Linked DNA regions of Coturnix japonica. The protein of the gene in region 1 interacts with the protein of each later gene in a pairwise test. Links are inferred from orthologs where the notes say so. Each region holds a gene or a part of one and is shown on either strand. Other genes may lie near its edges.

Region 1 (4,286 bases):
GATCTCCTCCTCAATATACACCACTTGCTGTTTTAGATCAGTCCTTCTTTAAAACCATCAGCAGAGGACACTCTGGTTCTGCTAAAGCCAAGGGAAGTTCTGCCTCTTGTTTCAGTGATGTACAGATTTTGCCCTTTTGACTGTAACTATTAACTGTTTTGACTTTTGACTGTAAATGCTCTTCAGCAGTGGACCTGAAAAAAGCTAATGCCCTCCCAAGCCAGCAGTTAACCATCCCACAGCACTTAGCATTGGGTTTGAGCTGTAGTAGTATCTGGGATGTGGCTGGAAATCAAATAGAACAGTTCAAACCCCCTGATTCATTGAGTTTGAGGAAAGAAACTTTACCTCTGAGCCTCAGTTCCCTTCATAAGTCAGGTGTTGCTCCTCATCTGGAAGTACTCCTTAAGATTCTGCTGTAGCCATTGACAGCTACCTTGAATGTCTCCAAAGTTACTGTAGAATAACAGCTGAGAGCTGTAATTTCTGGAGATGATGTGAAGGGTTGATTTTTGGGAGGCTTTAGGAGGGCTTTTGTGCAGGGTGCTGGGGGGGTTTTTGTGTGTATGTGTTTTCTTAGTGGCTTCAGTGGTCTGGGAAGCCCTGCTATGTAATCTGTCTTTCTTTGTTTCTCTTGGAGATCTCACAAAACAGCAGTATCATGTGATTCCTCACATGTTCCCAGAGCTTGAAATACCGGCTTTATTACAAGCAGATTTGTTAATCAAGCAAAAATGATACACTGTTCTCTAACTCCCTGAGCAGCTTAATTGCTGTGATGGGAAAGTGAATTATGCTTCTATGCTGCTATTCAAAAAATTACAGAATCTTGACACGTGGATGAACTCCTGCTGTGCGATGCAGCTTTCCTTAGATTTGTGACTGTTGATCTGGAATGAGCTGCATGCTTTTTGCTGGGGTGATGAGGGTTGAAACCAGCATGCTAAATACACACAACAGCTTGTTGGTAGGTCAGGCCCTGTAAAAGCGAGCCAGGCTTCAGCAAGGCTGGAGCAGACAATCGTTACCTAATTCCTATACTTCTGAATATACTATTTCTGCTGTGACTTCTTGCTTCTGGCATGTTACGTGCCCTCTGTGAGCAGCTTGTGGTGGATAATCTGCTTCATCCAGCTGTGTCGTAGGGACTCCAGGCTCTCCTGACATGTGCTTATTTCTTTCCAGGTCAGCTGTGCAGTGCTGCTCTGGGAGTTGAGTACATCCCTAGCAATCAGGTGTAACTGCTTTAAATCAATAATTTGCAGTTAGCAGCATAATTCAATAGACTCACACACATCCAGACCTGTAACATCTTTTGTCCAGTAAATAGGAGTTAGTTAAAAATCAGACCCTGGGGCAATGCAGGCTCTTCCAGCCTAAGGCTGCTGTTCTGGGTACTGTGAGCTGGCCCCATGGTTCTCTTTTGGGCCGTGGCACAGTGGCTCCAAGCATATTTCTCCTCATGTGGAACTGTATAAATGGGTCTGACAGTGCCCGGTTGTAGTTCTGTCTCCAGCTCCATCCTTGGAAACATCATTGCTTAGTAAACAGCCTTAGAGAAGAAAGTTGTTGTGAGAAATAAAAGCTGGTCTTATTCAATAGTTTTGGATACCGTAATATTTACTGAATGACAAATATTTTGTAGTAGCAATCCTGGAACATGCTTGAAGAAGCTCATTTCAGTCCTGTGTTTCTCACCCCTTCTCTTCTCCTCTTCTTCCAGATAATAGTAGATGATGATGACAGTAAAGTCTGGTCGCTGTACGATGCAGGACCCAGGAGCATTCGGTGCCCGCTCATATTTCTTCCTCCTGTAAGTGGAACTGCAGATGTGTTTTTCCAGCAAATTTTGGCACTGACTGGATGGGGTTACAGAGTTATTGCTGTGAGTATCATCTAGAAACCTTGAATGTGAGAATCAGTGTAACTTTGTAGCAGGAGGTTGACGTCTGATGATTAGAGACTGGCTTTTTGTGTCTTGTATATTGTTTCAGTTGCAGTACCCGGTGTACTGGGATCACCTTGAGTTCTGTGATGGATTCAGAAAACTGTTAGACCACCTTCAGCTGGATAAAGTGAGTGCCCAGAGATGGATATATAGCTGCCATAAAAACCTGATGCTTGAAGGCCTCATTTAAGAGCAAATGTGAAGTTCACAATGCAAAACCAGCCTATAAAGAGGCTGTGTTCTTTTGAAACTAGTTTATTTTTGAAAGGAAATTCCCTTGAAAATCTGACTGAATTCTCTGCTGTTGGAGGCTTATTACATTGGGTTGCTAACTGCATTTTTCTTTCTTGCTGAGATCCTGCTGAAGTTATCCTTCATAACTCACATTGTACAGAATATCACCATAAAGTACCTTGGATTGGAAAAAACATTGAATATAAAGTGAAATGATTACATTTTACTTAAGCACGATGAGCACACAGAAATTAGAAGCGTGATCAGGAAACGCTTCCTTTTTTTGGTATTTATCTCTTCTTGTAAATCAAAGAACCTACATTGAAGGCCTTTTTGTTCTGGTTTTGTTTTGTTTTGTTTTTCCAATTAAAAATGAGCTATAAGGACAAGGTAAAACTTGAAGGACTTTTTGTAACGTGGCCCTTAAGGGTCACTTAGTTCTCAAATGTAACATGACCTGTTTGTTTTGGTTTTCCTTTTTGAATTAGGTTCACCTTTTTGGAGCTTCTCTAGGAGGCTTCCTGGCTCAGAAATTTGCTGAATACACACACAAATCTCCCCGAGTTCAATCTCTGATTCTATGTAATGCCTTTAGCGACACTTCCATCTTCAATCAGACATGGACAGCAAACAGGTAAGGAAGACCGAGACAAGCAATGAGACTGGTGGCATTAATGTGTTTTCTGATGAAATTCCACACTGATCTGGTTCAACATGTGTTTAACTTGTTTTCAGCCTGCGTGCCTAATGGTGAGGGCTGGAATACATGTGACTTTTAAAACCATACTATAAAGGAAACAGAAGTTCTCACAATTGGGAGTGTGGAATTTGACAGACTCCTCCTGTATTTATTTCCTGTGATCATTTAAGGACGTGGTCAGACTTCAGAATTCTACTTGATTTCCAGCAAAACTTTTTAGAGTGAGGAAAGTGTTATTCACAATGTTTTTAATACACCCTTGCAATGCAGCAGCTTTCCAGAGCATTTCAGTCACATATCTGCAAGTTTTTCCATCTCTGCTCTTGAAGCATCTTCACGATTTCATTTGAAATTCTTGCACAAAAGTCAGTGCAAGAAAAGGGAAGACTTAAAAGAAAGCATCTTAATTCTGATTGTTACGTCTTGTTTCTGTTTTAGCTTTTGGTTAATGCCTGCTTTTATGCTGAAAAAAATTGTCCTTGGCAATTTTGCATCTGGTCCTGTAGACCCTGAAATGGCCGATGGGATTGATTTCATGGTGGACAGGGTAAGTGGCTGTGTGCTCCAATGGCTGTAATGTCAATCTTTGTGAGATATTCACTTAGTAGATGGGAGGTTGTAGATATTTCTGCTGCTTTCTTCATTTACTTACCCAGAAGTGAACAGTGGATGGATTCTCAGCAGGTGTTGGCTGCAACAGCTCTTGCAATTTAACTGGTGCTGTGATTTGTCTACCTTATTGTTCCATTTATCTATGTATATTGGAAGAGAGGTGGCTAAGAAAGAGATGGAAATGGGAATAAGTGCTGAGATAGTAGGCTATGCTCTAGAGGCAGGAACAATTAATTAAACGTTCTAAGTATTTGTCTCATGCAGCGAAATATTAAGATGGAACTATGATCTTCATCTGAAGTGCAGTCATGTTTCCCTTTAAAACTAAAGAGCTGTCTTCTCTTTGGCTCTGCTGTTATTATTGCATTAACTTCCTGCAGTGAAATATGTTATTAATCACAATTTGTCTCTACTGAAAGCTGGAGAGTCTGGGCCAGAGTGAGCTTGCCTCGAGACTTACCCTCAATTGCCAGAACTCTTATGTGGAACCTCATAAAATCCGAGACATCCCCGTAACTATTATGGATGTAAGTTTATTTCAGCTTAATTTTTTAAATACTTTTTTTTTTCTCCCAAACATCATTTCCTCCTCTTGGAAAGCAGGGCCTGGATATTGTGTTCACAACTTAATAAATATTTGCACCATCTAATTTTGTATTTAAATAGTTTTTCTACTGACTGGATAAGACAGCGGCTCTTCTGTGTTGAATTAATGGCTGTTACTGCACAGAACACCCAAATGTTTATCTATCAGTGTTAGCTTTCTAGTCACTGATGCTTAACTTGTTTGCT
Region 2 (5,809 bases), on another chromosome or scaffold:
CAATATAGAAATAAGGCTGTGGCGTGGGACCATAATATAGGGCGTGTGCACCAAAGCTGCCCCTGGCTGTCATTTCTCCAGTGTTTAAAGTCTGAGTCTGTTAAACATTTCAGCTCCCTGCTGCCATATTTTCTCCTTTTACTTCACTTGTAGTATTGCTGGCAAGTAGTTCTTATTTCAACAGAGCATTTAATATGAAGAAACTATCTGCTGGTGCCCTGTCTGATCAGTCCTCATTCATTGTCCTTACACGTCCTCAGGTCTGTACAGTCTGTACCAGTGGTGGACAAGTGATGAGGATGTCAGAAACGTAATAAGTAACTTGGATGTGCACTACCTTAGGATAGCAAAACCTCCTTTTCAGTTATTGGTGGAGCACAAGATGGCAATTGCAGACTGATAGGTGATGGGAGCTGAAAGAGAACCCCAGGTAAATGAACTGGCTGCCTATGTGAACTTCAGCGGTGCTCCGAGGCTGTATCCTCAACCTTTGACAACTCAAAGCAGCCACAAAGTGTACAAAGCCCGGAGACAAAAGGATTCATTTTTCACCAGAACCGCATTATGGCCCAAAGACCAACATTTTATTCTCATTGTTTCCACATACTCTGGAGCTGCAGCTGATAACATATGGATTTCACCCTTCCTTCAGGCTGAGCCTTGAGAGCTTGCCAATGTGCACCTCAGGCCCAGCCCAGGAGCCTCCTATGCTTTCATTTCCAGTTCTGCGGACAGCTATAAGCAGGAGGATTCATAGGCAGGAGAAAAGCCTGGGCTGTTACATGGTTATGCTTTGCCTTTCAAGCCAGGAGTTTCTCAAGTTGCCAAGGACTGCATGGGCTCTGCTCCAGGGTTAGTAGCATGCGTGGGGCAGTCAGAGCCCACAGAGATCACAGAGTCTTTCTGTGTAGGCCAATGGGCTCAGAGCCAGGCCTCTATAACCAGCCTCTCTGCATCACGCCCTGCCTCACCCCTTGAATTTTCCTTTTCCCTTTGCCAGCAACCTAAAGGATTGCAGCGGCCACCTGCTTCCAGCCCGCTGCCTGTCCCTTGCACACAGCAGCAGGGAGTGAGCCTGAGATGTGGCATTCGAACACATGCCATCCCAGGTGGGCGCTGTCTAAGAGGCTTTCCCAAGATGCATGGGCATTTCTGCTCACAAAGCTGCAGAGTTTAATAAGCTGCTTAAGTAGCGCAAGCTTAACTTCATGGAGCCCCCAGGTGCATCCAGTCTTCTCCCAAGAGGAGTGGTACCGCTCTGCATCTCTCCAGTGTGAGTGGGAGCTGCTCAGCTGCTTCTCACCAGCTCACTCGTGCTCAAAGAACTCATGGCAAGCAGAGGTAACCATGGCAATGAAGGCCACGAACTCCTGGAAGTCACACTCTGCATCCCCATCACTGTCCAGTGCCTCCATGACTTTGTCCACGGTCTCCTGGTCTTTGATCTCCTGAAAGGGCAGAAATGGATGTAGTAGCATCTGCTTAACAGCAGCCCTACCAGGGCACCTTGAGCCCCACAGGGTAAGGGTGATAAACAGGGTGATAAACCGTCCCAGGGAATGAAATCTCCCTAGTGTCCAGCCCAAGCCTCCAGCCCTGACACAGGCTTTGTCCTGCCACCACCTGCTCCTGGGGAGCTGGAGCCTGAGCCCAGCTGTGCTATGTAGAGGGCAATACTCACACCAAGGAAATGAGTTAATTCATTGTTAATGAGCTCCTTCAGCTCCGATTTCTTCAGCTTATGCTTGTCTCCTTCCTTCCCGGAGTACTGGTGGAAAGCATCAATGATGGCAATCATGGCCTTCTCCAGCTCAGACATGGTCACAGCACAGTCCTGAGATCAGAGGGAGGCGACGGGCACATCAGCAGGGTTAGGCTGCAGTGATGCATCAGAGCCCTGCTGCAACCCCCCACCCAACAGCAGCACAGGCAAGCTCTGCCAGTGGCTCTCACTTCAGAGAAGATCCCAGGATCTGTGGTTCTAAGGGGCCTTGGCTCTGAGTGCTCCAGGTGAGCTGCAACACAGGGAGTGGTGGCAGTGGGACAGGTGCATTCCCTGGAACCAACAGGAGTGTGCAGAGCGTGGGAGAGAAAACTGGAAGGAGATGGGTGGCAAAATCCTGGAGGCTTCTTGCGTTTCCCATATGTGCTGAGCTGGCTGTCAGCTGGGACAGGGTCATTTGCTAAGCTTGTGTTGCCAGTCCCCTTTGGGAAACCTGCATAGCAGAAATGGGCTGCGGGAAGCACAGAGCACTGGTCTGTGCCCAGGATGGGGCTCCAGCTCTGGCTCAGAGCTGCCTTGGATCTGCTGGACCTCCCCCAGGTCTCACCGTGGCTGGGCTGCATCTCAGTGCTGCTGCCTGGCGCTCCCCATGGGAAGGAAGCCCACTTTCAGATGGCTCAAACCACTATCAAAGTGCGGCAGGAACTGGACAGTGTCCTTGTGCCACATTCTCAGCTGATGGAGCACCCGTTTAATCACGCATATTGTCACCTCACCCAACTCTTTTATTCCTACTGGTCAACCCGTTGCTTTCCTTGGCAAGTTGGGGACAGGAGCAGGTAAGGGTGGGGGGATGCATTTCAGAAAGGCTTTGCTTTCCCTTTTATTTCAGGTGCCCACACCTCTGCCCTTCTTGCCTGCAGGCCCACTTCCAAATGAACAGTCGGGAGGGCATGAGGATTCGATTTTGATAGTTGCAAATAGAAAGAAACAAGGGCAACTCCTCTGCCTGCCTTCCTCGCACATCTGACCTGGTGCAGGACTACCAATAATTTCAGCTATTCCTGCAGATTCCACAGATATCCGTACAAAAATAACCCGACAGGGAGGGATGCAAATCCACCTTCCCAGAAGCTGCTCAATGCATTTACACTGGGCTTAAAAAACGCAACGGTTTGGTGTCCGGTCCTCGTTAAATACATACCGCAGGGGTAAATGTCTGCCATTGGTTAACTCAGCTCTGCACCGGCCTCTGCGGTGAGCAAAGATCTCAGCTCCGGAATGGCAGAGAACCATGGCGAACCAGCCAACCAGCCCGCCCGTCGGCTGCTCCCCCACCCCACCCAGAGCCCCATTCCTTCTCACCTCCCTTGGCGATGCTCAACGCTGCGGCTGCATCCCAGCGGCTGACCGCCTTCTTATGCCCGTGGGCGTGGAGCTTCACCCGTGCCGCAGCGCCCGGGACCAATGGCAAAGGGAGGCCGGGCCGTCCCGACAGCGGGCTGGGCTGTGCGCAGTGGCACACGGACGCGCATCGGCGCCCAGCCGACCCACGGCGGCCGTGGGGGCTGCTACAGGAGGCGGCCGTTGTGAATAGTGCGGGGAAGCAGACCCCGTGCACTGAGCAGCGCGGTGCCGGAGCGTGGCCGTGCCGCAGCTCTGCCCGCACGGAGCCGACGAGCAGCAGCGGAGCTGCGCGACGCTCCCACCCGCGGCCCGGGGGCTCCGCACGGCGCAGGGGCTGCGCGGCCGCTCCGTTCCGCGCCTACAACCGAGGCGACGGCGCCCGTGGCGGACCGTGCCCTCGCAGAGCCTCGCGGAGGGGCGGGCCGTGTGCCGGGAGCCCGAACCCCGTCGCTCCGTCCGTCTCCCCGCGCCCGGACGAGCGGCGGCGCTGCCCTGCGCTGCGCTCATCTGCTGCACGTGGGGCCGGCACGCGGCGCGGAGACCGTCCGCCAAACACAGCGAGCGCAGAGGCACCGAGCGGACTTTTATTGCGCACCTCAACCCGAGCCCGAGCTTCTGCTGCCGGCACAGCTGCCGCCGCGCGTGGCCGGAGGGAGAGCCCGGCGGCAGCGCGGCGATGGGGCGGCCGATGGACGCAGAAGGAGCCGGGCCGGGGGCGGCTGCCGCCAGAGCTCAGCGCCTAGTGGGGGTGGCCGTGGGGGTGGGGGCCCGGCGGGTGGTGCCCGGGCGGGTGATGGCCGGGAGGATGATGCTCGGGCGGGTGATGCTCGGGCGGATGATGGCCGGGAGGATGATGGCCGGGCGGGTGATGATGCCCGGGAGGGCCGTGCGGTGCAGGTGGGTGCCCAGGCCCGGGATGTGGCGGCGGCGGCCCTCCGTGTGGCCCTGCAGGAAGAGGGGAGCGTCAGGGCTGCGGGGCGGCCACGCGGCTCTGCTGCAGCTGCAGTGCCCCGGCCGCCGTGGGAGGCTCCTGGACCCGGGCGCGGCCGGGCTTGCGGGCAGCGGGAGGGGACGTGGGCACGGAGCGGCCTGGCAGCGCGGGCACCCCCAGGGCCGCCCGAGCCCTTCCCACGGGCGCTCACCTGGGTGTGGGGATGACATCTTCTCACGGCCCCGAGCTGCAACGGAAGGAAGCACCGCGCTGTCAGCGCTGCCTGCCGTGCGCGACCCTCGTGCCGGGCGTCCCCGTGGCCCCAGGGCTCCAGCCCACGTGTGGCCCCGCACGGACGGCACCGCCTGTCCCACACACGTCCCCGTGGCCACCCCGACCCTCCCGGGGGTCCCAGCTGCAGCCGCCCTCCCCTCTGCAGTCCCGGCACCACCCCGGCTCGTGGTTTCCCTCGCTGATGCAAAGAACCCGACCCCGGCCTCACGCAGCCCCTCGGGGCGGCGAGGAACAGCCGAGCCCCGTGCCGGGCCCACGGCCTCGGGGCCGCGTGGCTCCACCGAAGAGCCGGCCCTGCTGCCTCCCACCCCGCCGGCCGCTGCCGCTCAGCACCTGCACAACCGACCGCACGGACAGCACGGCGGGACCGGCGGCGTCCTCACGCGGCACACGGGCTGTCCGGGCCGGCCTCGGGCACCCCGTATTTATACGGGACCCTGACACCCGACGGGCACGGCTGCCTCATAAACACGCCGATGGCTTTACGGTGCCATCATCATGGGGATGCCCAGCAGACACACGGCGCACCCAGCACTGCGCACAAAGGTCTGCAGCCCTCGCCGGGCGCTGGCAATGGGTGGTGGCTCCTTCCACCAGCTCCTGATCCCGGCGGTCAGGGCCAGGGTGGGTCCGGCACAGCGGGTCCAGGCACGGAAAGGGGGCACGGGCAGGTTCCTTCACAGCCACTGCACAAACCTGTGCTGGAAAGACGTGCGTGGCACAGAGATGCTACACTGGCTTCTGTTGTCTGATGCACGAGGTCAGTGGGTGTTTGGTGCCTTCTACTTTGGGTCTGGCAATAAAGTTTCCTCCTGTTGACTTTCAGGGCGATCCGGGTTCCTTTGTGCTGCAGGGTGACACTTGTGTAAATCAGATGGAGCAAAGTTCAGGACAAAAAGCCCACAGTGCTGGCCGTAAATTCTTGTGGTTACCATTCAGCATTGGATGTTGGATGGTGCTGTGGGTAGTGAGGGAGGGGCCGTGGCCATTGAGGTGTAAAGGATGACAGCATGCATGGCGTGACACTGCCATGCAACCCAAGCTGGAAACCTGCCTGTTATCAGGGTTAGATGTGCGCCTTCAGCCTTGGCCATGTCCCACCTCTGCAAATGGGCAGCTCCAGGTTTCTGCCTTGTTCCTTGTACAGGGTCCTTGGCCAGTGTGAATCAGTCTACACCCCACCCCTGACTCCAGCCCAATGTTGTGAGTAATCCTTGAGGCCTGTGAGGAGGTGAAGTGTCAGACTGTGCTAGGCTGGGAGCTGGTGCATTTCTGAACATGTCAGCGATGTGCAACGTGCCGCCAATTCTTTCATCTTAAAATTCATGGTCCTGGCCTTTTAATGAAGACTGTGACCTCAGGGAAACTTTCCTCAGGTCACTGCTTTCTTGCTAAGACTTTGGACTGATATTTTTGGAGAAACAGAGGGTTTTACATAGCCCAAAGCTGAGCAC
Region 3 (5,769 bases), on another chromosome or scaffold:
CGAGCCTCCACGATGTCTGTGATGGGACCATCCAGCATCCTCACACCTAGAGAGATGATTTGGGTCTGGCCAGGACCCAGCCCTGCTCTGCAGCCATCAGCCACTGCTGGGTTACCACTCCTCCTTAACCCCTGTGCAGCTTTAACCCCACTTGGCCACCAAACCTGCAGCCAGTGGAGACAGAGCCCTGCCCTGCTGCAAGTCTGCAGCACCCTCTAGTGCTGCACAAGCCTTAAGCTTCCCCTGGAGCAGCACAGCAGCTGGGAAACCCTCAGGGCTTCACATCCACCAAACACCACGCAGGGAGGGGAACACTGATGGTGTCCAAAGCATTGCTCTGAAGCCCCATGTCCTGCAGCTTTGCAGCACTGTGGGGTCAGCCTGAGGCTTGCAGCAGGAATTGCTCACCTCCAATCTTTGCATTGTATGCAATGCCTGCACCGCAGATCCCGTTGTTGGCTACGGCTGCTGCCTCTCCTGCACAGCGTGTCCCATGTCTAAGGGGCAGACACAAGAGATCCATCCTTGAAGGGGGCTGAGTGAGTGGGGTGGGCTGTGGGGGTTTCAATGCAGAACCAGAGGATTCAACTCACCTGTTCTCACCCCAGGTGTCGTACCTGGGCTGGGGGTCAGGGTCGTTGCTGTTGAAGTCGTAACTCGCGAGAGGATCCTAATGCAACAAGGGCTACCAGTGGGACCAAAGCACGTTGCCAAGAGGCAGCCAGCCAGCACAGGGAGGTCCCTGCATGCCCACTGACTGCATTGGCCTCGCCTGAACCTGCAGGGCTCATTTAAACCCACGCTGCTCTGAACTGATTAAGGTTCCCCTGTTCTCTTTGCTCTCTGAGCACGTGAGGCTTTACAAGCCCTACTTGCTTTGCAGCTTGCTGTAATTACATCTGACTATTCTGGGGGCTCAGCCGTACACAAGTTCTAACATTTCCTTGCTGTGAGAAATGATGGCAGAGAAGCAGAGCCCTTTGATCCCACCCCATATCCCAAGGGCTGCAGAGCTGCACCATCCCCTCCCAGCCCCAAAACTCAAAGCTCTGCCCAAGGGGGGAGCTTGGTTACGTAGTTAGGAGCCAGGTCAGGGTGATCCTTCTCAATTCCATCATCCAGGATGGACAGCACGACCCCTCGGCCGGTGAAGCCTTTGCTCCAAGCAGAGAGGATGTTGAGATCAGGGCTGATGTCGTTGTTCTGGACAAGGGATTGGGATGGATCAGTGCATCCTGCTGCCTCATCACTGCTGGCATTAGTCCTGCTTATGCTCAGGGCAGGTGATTGAGGACATTGGGATTAGATGGGAGAGCAGCACCATCTCACCATGTACCACTGCTTGGGGAACCAAGGGTCTGTGGGCACCACGTTGATGCTCCTCTTGGCTCTGATCTTCACTGTTTGCTGCTCAAACCAAAGAACCTGGGTGGGAAGCAGCGTTGTTGGCACTATGTGTGTTCCCATAAGGGTGCCCTGGTCTAATGTGCAGCCCAGCCCCTACCTGTGGTTCCCTGCTCAGCCTCAGGCTCCAGCCCCAGTGCCTGCTCAGGGATGTCTGCCTGGAGCCACGGTGTTGGAAGTGATAGTAGGGCTCTCCATCCAGCACCTGCAGTGAGGGCTGAGCTCAGGGGGCTGCATGGAGATGGGCAGAAAGAAATGGGGGGGGGGGGATGCCAGTTCAAAGTCTGCTGGGCTGCAGGGTGGGAAGGATGCTTTGGGATCATGGAGTGACTGTAGGGGCTGGGAGGGACTTCTAGAGGTCATTGAGTGCATTCCCCTGCCAAAGCAGGCTCCCTGCACCACGATGGTGCTGGAAAAGGGGCTGCTCTGCACCATGCACGGGCTCCCTCTCCTACCTATGCTTGTAGCAGGTAGCTGTGCAGCCCTATAGGACCCCATATACCCCATACACAGCCCTACAGCGGGTCGGACCTCACCTGCCCCACGCAGATCAGCCCGTACCGCTGTGCCAACAGCCCCGCATCCCTCTGCCCCTCCGCGACCAACACAGCCCAGCTGCTCAGATAAACGCTGCTCGGAGCGTCGTGCGGACCCGCTGTGAGCCCCAAACCCACCCCCAGCCCCACACCCAATAACACCCCCAGCCCCCACGCCCCCCCTATGCCGTGCGGTGTCGCCATGCCCTGCGCTCTGCGTGCGTTACCATAGAGCTGGAGACGCCACCTGCCCGTCCCTCCCCGCTCCGCCCCGCACAGAACCGGGACCGCATAGGGCCGAGCGGGGCCCGCAGCCATGGGGACCGTCCAGCAGCGCCTGCAGCGCTTCCTCGACCGACCCGGACCGATCTCCGACCTCTTGGGCCGCCTGGAAGCCCGGACCGGTGTCCGCCGGTTTTACCTGGCTACAGGTGAGCCCGCAGCCCCACCGCGTGGACCCCTTCCCCTTCAGCCCCCTTCCCCTATTCCGGGTCCACCCCAGCCCCCTCCCCTTATTCCGGGTCCCCTTCAGCCCCCTCCCCCTATTCCGGGTCCCCCCCCAGCCCCGTGCTGCGCTGACAGCCCCACACTGCCCACCCTGGGGAAGGGAGGAAGCTGCCCAGGGGAGCCGTTGGTTATTTAGGGGAGGGGGTGTCTTCCTCTTCCCCCCCTTCGATCCCAGCCCCACATGGTGGGCTTCACAGAGCCCTGCCCTGCCCAGTGTTGCTCCCCACATCCCCCTGCCCTATGGAAGCCTGGCTGTAGCATGGAACCAAGCCCCCAACCCCCAGCAGGAGGGCAGAGGTCTGTTCGTTAACCAGCTGCTGTTTGTTCATTAACGAGAAACAAGTGATATCTCCCCACGGAGCCGATCCCGGCACCGTTTGACCCCCTCGGTGAGGCTGTCACCTCAACCTTGGCCATTTCTGTGCCTTGGCTGCGTTTATGACTTGCCATCTGCCTCCACGTTGCCATATGGAACCTCCTTATGGGGGGGGGGGGGGTCTGGGTTTCCCTGCTGTGCCCCCAGCCTGATTCCTGGCCCCACGGCTCCTATAGAGCTTTGGTTGCTCTGCTGGGATCTGACACGTGTTTGGAGCGCTGGTTCTGGGGCTCTGGTTGCACTTTGGGCTGTGGGTGACAGGGATAGAGCAGAGTTGTTGTTCCTGCAGCTCAGCTCCGATGTCTGGAAAGGAGAAGCTGATGCTCAACAACAAATATCGGGTTTCTTCCTCCCTTCCCCCCCACCCTGCAGCAATCCCTCAGCCCAGAAGGGGCTGCTCGGTATCTTATAAAGCAGCCACAGACCCAACAGCTGCCTCTGTAAAGGGTAAAGGGCACCAAGGAGGAGGACAGCATCCCCTCTGTGCCACATCTGCTTGTGGATGGGGATAAACCTTTGCCAAGCTCTCCATTCAGTGCTGCAGAGATGAGGCTTCACTGACCTCCTGTCCTGTATGGGAGGCAGAGATGGGGCTCTGGGTGTGGGAGCCTTGGAGCAGCTCCTCCACCAGCCTGATCAGGACCCATAGGACACAGAATCCCTTCCTCCTCCTCCTGTGTTCACATTGTGGGTTTAGGACCCCGGGATGTGTCTCCTTCCTGCCCTCCTTCACACAAGGCTCCTCTGTGTTCAAAGCTGAGCCTCTCCTTTGTGTTTTGCTCTTACATAAATTTCTCCGGGGCTAAACTTAGCCTGTGCAATCCATTCTAAGGCTCTTTAGGGAATGAAACCCGGAGCTGCCTGAACCTGCCTGCTTATTTCCCTTGGAGGGGGAAGCTGTAACTGCTCCCACCAGCTGGGAACAGCGCCCAGCTCCCTTTGCAAAGCCCAGAGGTGCCCATATGAGCACAGAGCATGGAGCAGATCTGCTGCTGTGAGCAGCACAGGGATGAGCCCTGTGTCCTCTGTGCCCCTTCCCTCTGATTCACTGCCACAGACAGGCTAAGTCCCAGCTCTCTTGCCCTGCTGTAGGATAAGGTGCTTAAGCTGCTGCTAAGCAGGAGCTGAGACACCATTGGGGTGGCTGAACTCTTGGCTCTATCCTGCAGGCTCCTTGGCTTTCGTGGGGCTGTACCTGGTGTTTGGCTACGGTGCCTCATTGGTCTGCAACCTCATTGGCTTTGCCTACCCTGCATATGTCTCGTAAGTACTGACCCTACAGCTCTGGATGGTCACTCCTGAAACACTGGGGAGTTGTTATGGGGCTCATTGCCAGGCCTGGAGATATGGGAACAAACCAGTAATTGATGTCCTCCATCCCATAGCATCAAAGCCATCGAGAGCTCCAGCAAGGAGGATGACACCACGTGGCTCACATACTGGGTGGTGTACGGTGTCTTCAGCATAGCCGAGTTCTTCTCTGACATTTTCCTCTACTGGTTCCCCTTTTATTATGCTGGGAAGGTAACGACTTCATGGGGGCACAGGGGAGACCCCCCCTTTGATGGCTGAGCTCTTGTGGTTCATGTATTGAGCTCTGGGGCTTCCTCTGGGCACCTTTGGCAGTACTGGGATGCCCATACAATCCAGCTCTGCAGCATCTCTTCCCCTATAGTGCCTGTTCCTGGTGTGGTGCATGGCCCCAGTGTCCTGGAATGGCTCCCAAGTGCTTTATCACAGCATCATCCGACCCTGCTTCCTCAAACACCACCGTGCTGTGGACTCGGTGCTCAGCGACCTCAGCACCAAAGCACTGGATGCAGCCTCTGCCATCACTAGAGAAGGTAACGTGGGTCCAACCCTCATCATGGGGCAGCTCTCAGTGCCCCACACCCCTCCTGTATCCCACCCCATATCCCCACAGTGATGGCAGCCCGGCCCTTCTCTTTATCTTTCTTCTTCCTACGCCTCCTGGAGCAGTTCTACACACTCTGCTCAGCAGCAGAGCCCGGCTGGCTGCCCAAGTCACCCCGCAGCTCAGCGTGTCTGTATGTAACAGCCATATCCCATAGCCCAGGTCCTGCTCCTATAAGCCCCGGTCCTATAAGCCCCTCTCCTATAACCCCCTCTCCTATAACCCCCTCTCCTATAACCCCCTCTCCTATAAGCCCTGCTCCTCCAGACCCCTTTGCTTTAGCCCACCCACTGTAGATATAGAGCAGGCTCTCCTCACCCCCCAACCCCCCCATCTCGGTGGTCTCAATGCAGGTCCCGACCCTCACCCTTCTCTCTTTCTATCCCGCAGCCGGGGCCGCCGTGAAGTTGGCACAGGAAGCGAAGAACAAATAAAGCACCGGGACAACGCCGGCCTCAACCCGTTCCCTGCTCCCCCGGCCCATCCGCGTCTCGGTTCCCCCCCCCCTTTTTCCCCCCCCTCCCCAAAGTAAAGCTGTTCCCCATCCACTCCCGTCTGTCGCGGCGCCTTTAAGAGGGGGCGTGGCTTCGTGGTGGCGCGGTTGTGACGTCATTAGTGCGCGGGAGAAGGAGGGGCGCGCGCGCGGGAAGGTGGAGGTACGGCAACCAGGAAGAGGGGGGGGGGGGGGGGTCTGTCTGTCCGTCTGGTTTCCTGGCGGGTGAGTGTCCGTCTGTCCCGGCTGTGAGCCCCCCCCTACCCCCCCCAGAGCCCCGCCATGAGCTCCAAGGCCAAACGGGTCCTGCCCACCCGCCCCGAGCCCCCCACCGTGGAGCAGCTCCTGGCCGACGTGCGGGGGGCGCCTCCGGCCGACCCCGTCCTCATGATCCCGGCTGAGCCCCCCCGGGACGGGCCCGCACCAGGTGAGCCCCACAGCGGCAGCATCAGCGGGTGGGAGGGCAAAGAGCACCGACCCCCCCCCTATTAAGCCCCCCGTACCCCCCTATACAGGGCAGGAGGACGGCGTGGATGAG
Region 4 (5,956 bases), on another chromosome or scaffold:
TTCCAGCAAACCCATTGTTTTCTGTTCACCAGCAGCTTGGGAAGGGATCAAAGCCAGCCGTAGAGGACGGGTGGAATGAATACAAGCAGAGTTGCCCATCTCATCAGCAGCACGCTTTCATATAACTGTCCTGGTCAAATGAATGCTCATAAGCAGCTGTGCCAGCAACACCTGGAGGGTGTGGTAACCTCAGGGCAGCAGCACTGTTACCTGCACTGTGGCAGCGCTGCTTGCTCCTCCCTGACTTTCCTGCATCAGGAAGTTCTGCTCAATATTTAAGAGCACTAAATAAAACCATTCTCCATCTGAAACTCCTCCCAGGACCAATTAAGAACACAGAGTGCCCCCATAAGGTGACCACGTTGCACGGATCATTTACTAAGCCATCATTTATACATGGCTTGTTACACTTGGTCTAATTGAGAGCAGCTACGATCTTATTTACAGAGGAACCTACTGCCCACCTCCCCACCCCCCTTCAAACTGACCCTACAACTCCCTTCCAGCCCTGTGCTCTTAACTGCTGACTGCTGCTGTAGCTAAAAAAAGCAGATGACAGGAAAGCCTGCAAGGCAGTAAACAGGCTGAGATGGGAGCAGCTAAGTGCTTCCTGATTTCAGTTCCTACCTGAATCTGAGATGCGTGCAGGTCCATTGTGATTATGTGATCTGCTCCTGCCACAGACAGCATGTTTGCAACCAGCTTGGCAGAGATCGGGGCTCGGCTCTGGGACAGAAAAACAGAACACAACACTATTTAAGACAAGTTTAACTCCTTCATCAAGATGTGAGTCCTCCACCTCTAGGCAATGATTCACAAGCAGCTACTAAAAGTACTCATTAACACCACATCTTTTCATCAGCTTTGATTACAGGTTGGTGTATTTCCAAGCATCTTTGTGGAGATGAATCTGCAGCTCGATGCCCTCAGGTTTAAGTTAAATTAAGTTTTATCTCTTCCTCCACATATTCAATTCCAGCTAAACCCTGGCAGCCAGGCAGGCCTGCCGGCCTCTCCAAGCGTGCACATATCTTCCCCCAGCAGAACCCCTTCTTGAATCCCTTACCTTGTCCTTTTTGTCCTGCCGAGCATAAGGGAAGCAAGGGATGACAGCTGTGACTCTGCTGGCTGAGGCAATCTTGCAGGCATTTATCATGATAAGGAGCTCCATCAGATTGTCATTGATTTCCCCACAGCCACTCTGCACAATGTAGACGTCCTCCCCACGTACGCTCTCGCCTATTTCCACACTGGAAACAGATGGGGAAAGAAGAGTTGGATCTAAACAGAAATTAAAGCTGCAGTTGTTACATAGGCCTGCACAGAGACCAAGGGGTTGCAGTCCTGAGGGTCTGTGGGTGACAGCACCATGTAATCACGGGTGTTTGGCACGAACACTGTTGCTTGTTTGCTCAGTAGCTATTTCATAGTACTCACTGCTCACATTTAATGGTTCAATAAGGCTGAAAGCGCTCGGCCTCTGCTTTTAATCTCTATGCAATCTGAGCATGTAAACCCCACCCTCAAACAGTTCCTGTCCCCCCAAATCACAGAACTACAAAGCAGGGATGATGGCCAGTCAGCAGGGAAAGCCAAGCCAAGCTTCCAACAGAAGCCGTGCTGCAGCAGATTATTCTATTAGAGCCCTAACAGCTTTTCACTGCCTTGAACAGAGAAGCCCTCCAGCTTTTCACTCTGGAAAGGCTTTTGGGGTTAATTTCCTCCTAGATGTAATGCACACTAATCCCTGCTGATGAAGGCACTGAACACAAGCCAAAGGTCCTGTTTGCCAGCAGCACGCCGGCAGCTCCAACGTGTGTTGAGACACCCGCACCCAAAGCGGGGCTGGAAGGCATGCAGCCATCTCAGGTCTTCTCAGCTCTGTAGAAATGCTGTCCAAGATGAAGCCCTAAGTGCTGCAACAGTGAAGTTCAGAGAAGCCTGTCACAGATGTGGAAGGAACCCAGAGTCACTCGAGAGAGGATAAATCCTCCCCCAGCTTCTTCCAGTGCTGGGGATGCCCACATCCTGCAGCAAACTACAGGAGCATGTGGGAGGGTGGTTACCACCCCCACCCCCCAACAGCTCTGTGCTCAGAGTACCTGAAGATAGACCTTTAACGTTACTCATTTACCATCTCATCTTCCCCCTTCAGCTTGCTTTTGCTGAACACCTGGCCTTGCTGCTCCACCTCCACCAGCAAACTGCTAACTCCAGACATCTTGCCGTGCTTATTGCTCACAAGCTGCTCCAGGCTATCGTGGAGACCTTCCCAATGGGCTAAACTGGGCTGAACTAACAGCACACGGTGTCATTTTCCACTGCACTTTAATACCAGAGCTTAACATTAGAGCTCATTCAAGAGTGTGAGTACAACCGAACCGCTCTGCTCTTTTCCAGCATGGGCCCTGAGCTGATGGAGGTAAATAAGATCCATTGGATGTTCAGAACCTACATCAGTGCTCACACAGGGACCTGCTGGGAGGGACAGGGACATGAGGACAGAGCCACGGCACCACTGTACATCACATGGAGCCTTATCACACCTATGTGCACGGCATCATGGCAGCAGTTACAACAGCACGTAATGGAAACAACTCGTGTCTGAGACTTCTGGGCAACCACTCAGGATTCCCGTATCACCCCGGATATGGCACATACAGCTGCTTTCCTCGAGATATTTCCTATCGTGGCACCTTAACCTCTCCTTTCTCCTTAACTCCACAGACACAACGAGGCCGCCGCTTCCAGGGCCGTATGTGTGTGTGTCTGTGTGTGTATATGTGTGTGTGTCTGTGTGTGTATATGTGTATATGTGTATATGTGTATGTGTGTGTGTGTTCCTCCCCGCACACCTGCACGCACCTCCAGCCCCGCCCCGGCCCCAGAGGACGCACAGTCCGGCCCTGAGCCGCCACATGTCGTGCAGGGGGCGGCCCATCCCCGCTCCCCCGGCGTCATTTGGCCCCGTTATCCCCGCGCCGTGCCCAGCCCGGATCCCGGATCCCGCACCCCCAGCGGCCCTCTCCTCCCTTCCCCTCCCTCCCCTCCCTTCCCCTCCCCTCCCCTCGGGCCGCGGCCGCCCCCCGCTGCGCACTACAACTCCCAGCAGCCCCCGCGCGGCGAGCTCGGCGGAAAACGTTCCGTGGCCGGCGCGCTGCCCGCCGGGAGCTGTAGTTTGGCCCCGCCCCCTCCTCACCATGTCTCCTGGTTGCTGAACTTCTTGGTCACCACCTTGCCCAGCTCCAAGCCCAGGCGGTCGGCGATCTTCTGCGACAGGTCCTGGTGCGAGCTCCCGCTGAAGATCTTGATGTTGGGCATGGCGGCGGCTGCGGCGGCGGGAGCGCTGCCCTCCTCCTTCCCCTCGTGCCGCTCCCCGCTCCGCCTCGCACCGCGGCCCGCTGCGGCGCTGGGATCCACCCGCCTCCTGACAGGGGACGCGGCGAGGAGAGCGCAGGCCACGCCGGCCGCGGCTACTCCGCCATCTTACCCCTTCCCGCCAGCCGCGCGGGCCCTTTATAGACTCCTCGCGCCCCAACGGACACGCCTTGGCGCTCTCTCATTGGCTACGCCGCCTCCGGGGGCGGGTCCTACCGCGACCCTCCAATGGCGTGCAGGGCGCGGTGGGCGGGGCTTGGCCTGCTCTGCCGAGCGCCCAAACAACGGCCCTCCCTGGGGAGCGGCGAGGTGTGCGCGCGTGCTCCCCAAGTGGGCGGGGCGGAAGGCAGGAGGAGGCGTGTGATTGGTCGCTGCCTGTCCGCCTGCCCGGCGATTGGCCAGAGGGGCCGCGGGAATGTGAGGGGGGTTGGGGGGGGTAGAGTTGGCCACGCGCTTGGCGCCCCCCCACCCCCCTGCGGCCGCCATGATGGATCCCCCGCCTCAGGGCTGGGAAGTGGCCGTGGAGGAGAGCGGGAAGGGCGGGCTGCGGCCCTTTGCCTCCAGTTTGATGCTAAAAACGCCTCATTTCGCTAATAAAGTCAGAAAACAGCAGTCAGATGGTCTGCACGGCCGCTCACATCAGATGTGTGGGTGTTGCTGACAGCGCTGCTCCAAAAGCTCATGGCTGCCATTACCCCGTATTAACAACAACTGCGCTTCAGCCCTTCTGTGTTTGTCCTTCTTACCATATGGCGGCTTCACATCTCACAGTAACCGGGGTTAATGGCTGCACGAGCCCCCTTGGCTGTGTGATTCTGGTTCAGACTTCTCCTCACTCTGGATATCCTGTGGGATAATAATGGATTTTTGCCCCTATATTTCGGTGATAAATCTCTATATTGCAACAACAGCCTGGAGGCCTCCCCTCCCTGCACACAGCCTGCAGAGGGTCTGCTGCCTCCTGAAGGATCTGGGATGGGTAACTTCCAGGCCTGGACATATTTGATTCCCAGCCATTTCCCTCAGCCTTGGCTCAAACGGGGTGTTGGACAGCAAGGTGGTTACAGGACAAAAGTCCATCCATCTTAACCATTTATTGCTCTTAGCACAGGATAACGAGAGGGCTTTCTTTATCAAGGAGCTTTTAAGCAGCCTGCAGCTAAGGCCAAGTCAAACAAAGCCATGGAGCTTGCTCGGGAGGTTCCCCTCCTCCAGCTTTGAAGAGAGGTTTACGTGGATCTGCCTTCAGCTGGAGGCAGGCAGGGGTTGGGTGGCTGAAATCCATAGGCTCCAGTCTGGCTGTCAAAGGGGCACTCTGGAAAAGGACTGGATGTGAAGGTGGATGGGAGTATTTTTAAGTGCCCAATCCAACGTGGCTTGCTTCAGATCGAAAGGCAAATGTAATCAACTGAATTACCCACTTACAGCCTAAGGAACTGTATTTAATTGCCATTTGCTTTACCTCATAGAGTGGTACTCATTGGCTTTGGTGTTGGGAGGAACCATCCGGGAGCCTGAGCTGCTGTGTTCCCCTTTGGAAATGCATTGGTGTCCAGCTGCAGAGATGCTGAAAGGAATGGCACTGCTCCCCTTTTATTTACCCGACAGCCTGGAGGTTCACTGAATCAGAAATGGAGCTGTGTTCCATGGCCTAGGAATATATTGTCCAGGAAGCTTTAAGCAGCTCATTCACGCCATGGGATTTCATGGCCATGCCAATCAATACAAGCAGCCCTTTTCCCTCTCTTGGCACATTCCTGCATACAATTGCTGCTCAATCACCACCACTTCCCCCAGGACCCATTTCCATGCTCAAAGCGTTTGGCTGCGAGTTTTGTTTTCCTTCTCTCTGCCTTGTGGGCCATCCAGTTAATGAATGACACTGGGTAGGAGCAGCACAAGTCTGCCCTTTGGTGCTGGAATTCACCACATCCAACACATTCACTGCTATGAGCTATGGCTCACCTCCACTCTTAGGGCATTCGGATGTCAGTCTGCTTTCCAAAGCTCCCACTTAACAACTCAGAAAACCTTATCATATGCTCTGGATGCATTTCTGCTGGCTGCTCCTTTTCTGCTGCTTCTCTGCCTCTATCATCTTTCTTTTCCACAGGGATTATTTTCAGATAAATCCCCTGCTACTATCAAACCCTTGAGGATCAAATGAGAGCTGTCTTGTTTCCGGATCCTTACTGACTCTATTACAACACTCTGTTCTTTCCTTTGAAGGAGGTAAATCGCTTGATCATAGATATCCCATTGGTTCCAGGCGGGTTGTGTTTAGGAATGGAGGTCACCCATACCACACAGCTACACACAGCAACACTGAACCCACGTTCTGTTGTCAGGAAAAGGACTAAACCATAGGAAACAGTGTTCCAGGCTGGATGTGGCTCTGGGCAGCCTGGGCTGCTGCTTGGTGACCCTGCACATAGCAGAGAGTTGGAACTGGATGAGCACTGTGGGCCTTTTCAACCCAGTCCATTCTATGATAAGAAGCAGTGCAGACTTGGAATTAGAAGCTCATGGAAAGTCCTGCCTGGTCACAGACAACAGCAGTATGTAAGCAACCATTGCT

The links. The genes of interacting proteins can lie anywhere in the genome.
Region 2: the proteins of SPG21 (region 1) and S100B interact in binary tests that used the Homo sapiens proteins (3 or more experiments, as listed by UniProt). The two-hybrid records come from large-scale screens. The link is inferred for Coturnix japonica from reciprocal best matches to the Homo sapiens genes SPG21 and S100B.
Region 3: the proteins of SPG21 (region 1) and REEP6 interact in binary tests that used the Homo sapiens proteins (3 or more experiments, as listed by UniProt). The two-hybrid records come from large-scale screens. The link is inferred for Coturnix japonica from reciprocal best matches to the Homo sapiens genes SPG21 and REEP6.
Region 4: the proteins of SPG21 (region 1) and PRPS1 interact in binary tests that used the Homo sapiens proteins (3 or more experiments, as listed by UniProt). The two-hybrid records come from large-scale screens. The link is inferred for Coturnix japonica from reciprocal best matches to the Homo sapiens genes SPG21 and PRPS1.

Annotation. Positions count from the first base shown.
Region 1 is NC_029525.1:16,061,921-16,066,206, reverse strand, and holds part of SPG21 (maspardin), read left to right. Parts: intron 1-1,723; coding exon 1,724-1,885; intron 1,886-1,994; coding exon 1,995-2,075; intron 2,076-2,670; coding exon 2,671-2,816; intron 2,817-3,320; coding exon 3,321-3,429; intron 3,430-3,913; coding exon 3,914-4,021; intron 4,022-4,286. UniProt on the Homo sapiens protein: May play a role as a negative regulatory factor in CD4-dependent T-cell activation.
Region 2 is NC_029522.1:2,449,854-2,455,662, forward strand, and holds S100B (protein S100-B), read right to left. Parts: upstream 3,514-5,809; 5' UTR 3,089-3,513; intron 1,835-3,088; 5' UTR 1,820-1,834; coding exon 1,682-1,819; intron 1,449-1,681; coding exon 1,308-1,448; 3' UTR 556-1,307; downstream 1-555. UniProt on the Homo sapiens protein: Small zinc- and- and calcium-binding protein that is highly expressed in astrocytes and constitutes one of the most abundant soluble proteins in brain.
Region 3 is NC_029543.1:2,272,358-2,278,126, reverse strand, and holds REEP6 (receptor expression-enhancing protein 6), read left to right. Parts: upstream 1-2,256; coding exon 2,257-2,371; intron 2,372-3,992; coding exon 3,993-4,086; intron 4,087-4,208; coding exon 4,209-4,347; intron 4,348-4,498; coding exon 4,499-4,667; intron 4,668-4,803; coding exon 4,804-4,895; 3' UTR 4,896-4,910; downstream 4,911-5,769. Other genes in the region: PCSK4 (proprotein convertase subtilisin/kexin type 4), read right to left, coding at 1-46, 409-497, 594-670, 1,075-1,203, 1,330-1,425, 1,505-1,609, 1,941-2,258; C28H19orf25 (UPF0449 protein C19orf25 homolog), read left to right, coding at 5,514-5,658, 5,747-5,769. UniProt on the Homo sapiens protein: Required for correct function and survival of retinal photoreceptors. Required for retinal development.
Region 4 is NC_029519.1:1,921,144-1,927,099, reverse strand, and holds the start of PRPS1 (ribose-phosphate pyrophosphokinase 1), read right to left. Parts: upstream 3,514-5,956; 5' UTR 3,322-3,513; coding exon 3,200-3,321; intron 1,251-3,199; coding exon 1,067-1,250; intron 727-1,066; coding exon 628-726; intron 1-627. UniProt on the Homo sapiens protein: Catalyzes the synthesis of phosphoribosylpyrophosphate (PRPP) that is essential for nucleotide synthesis.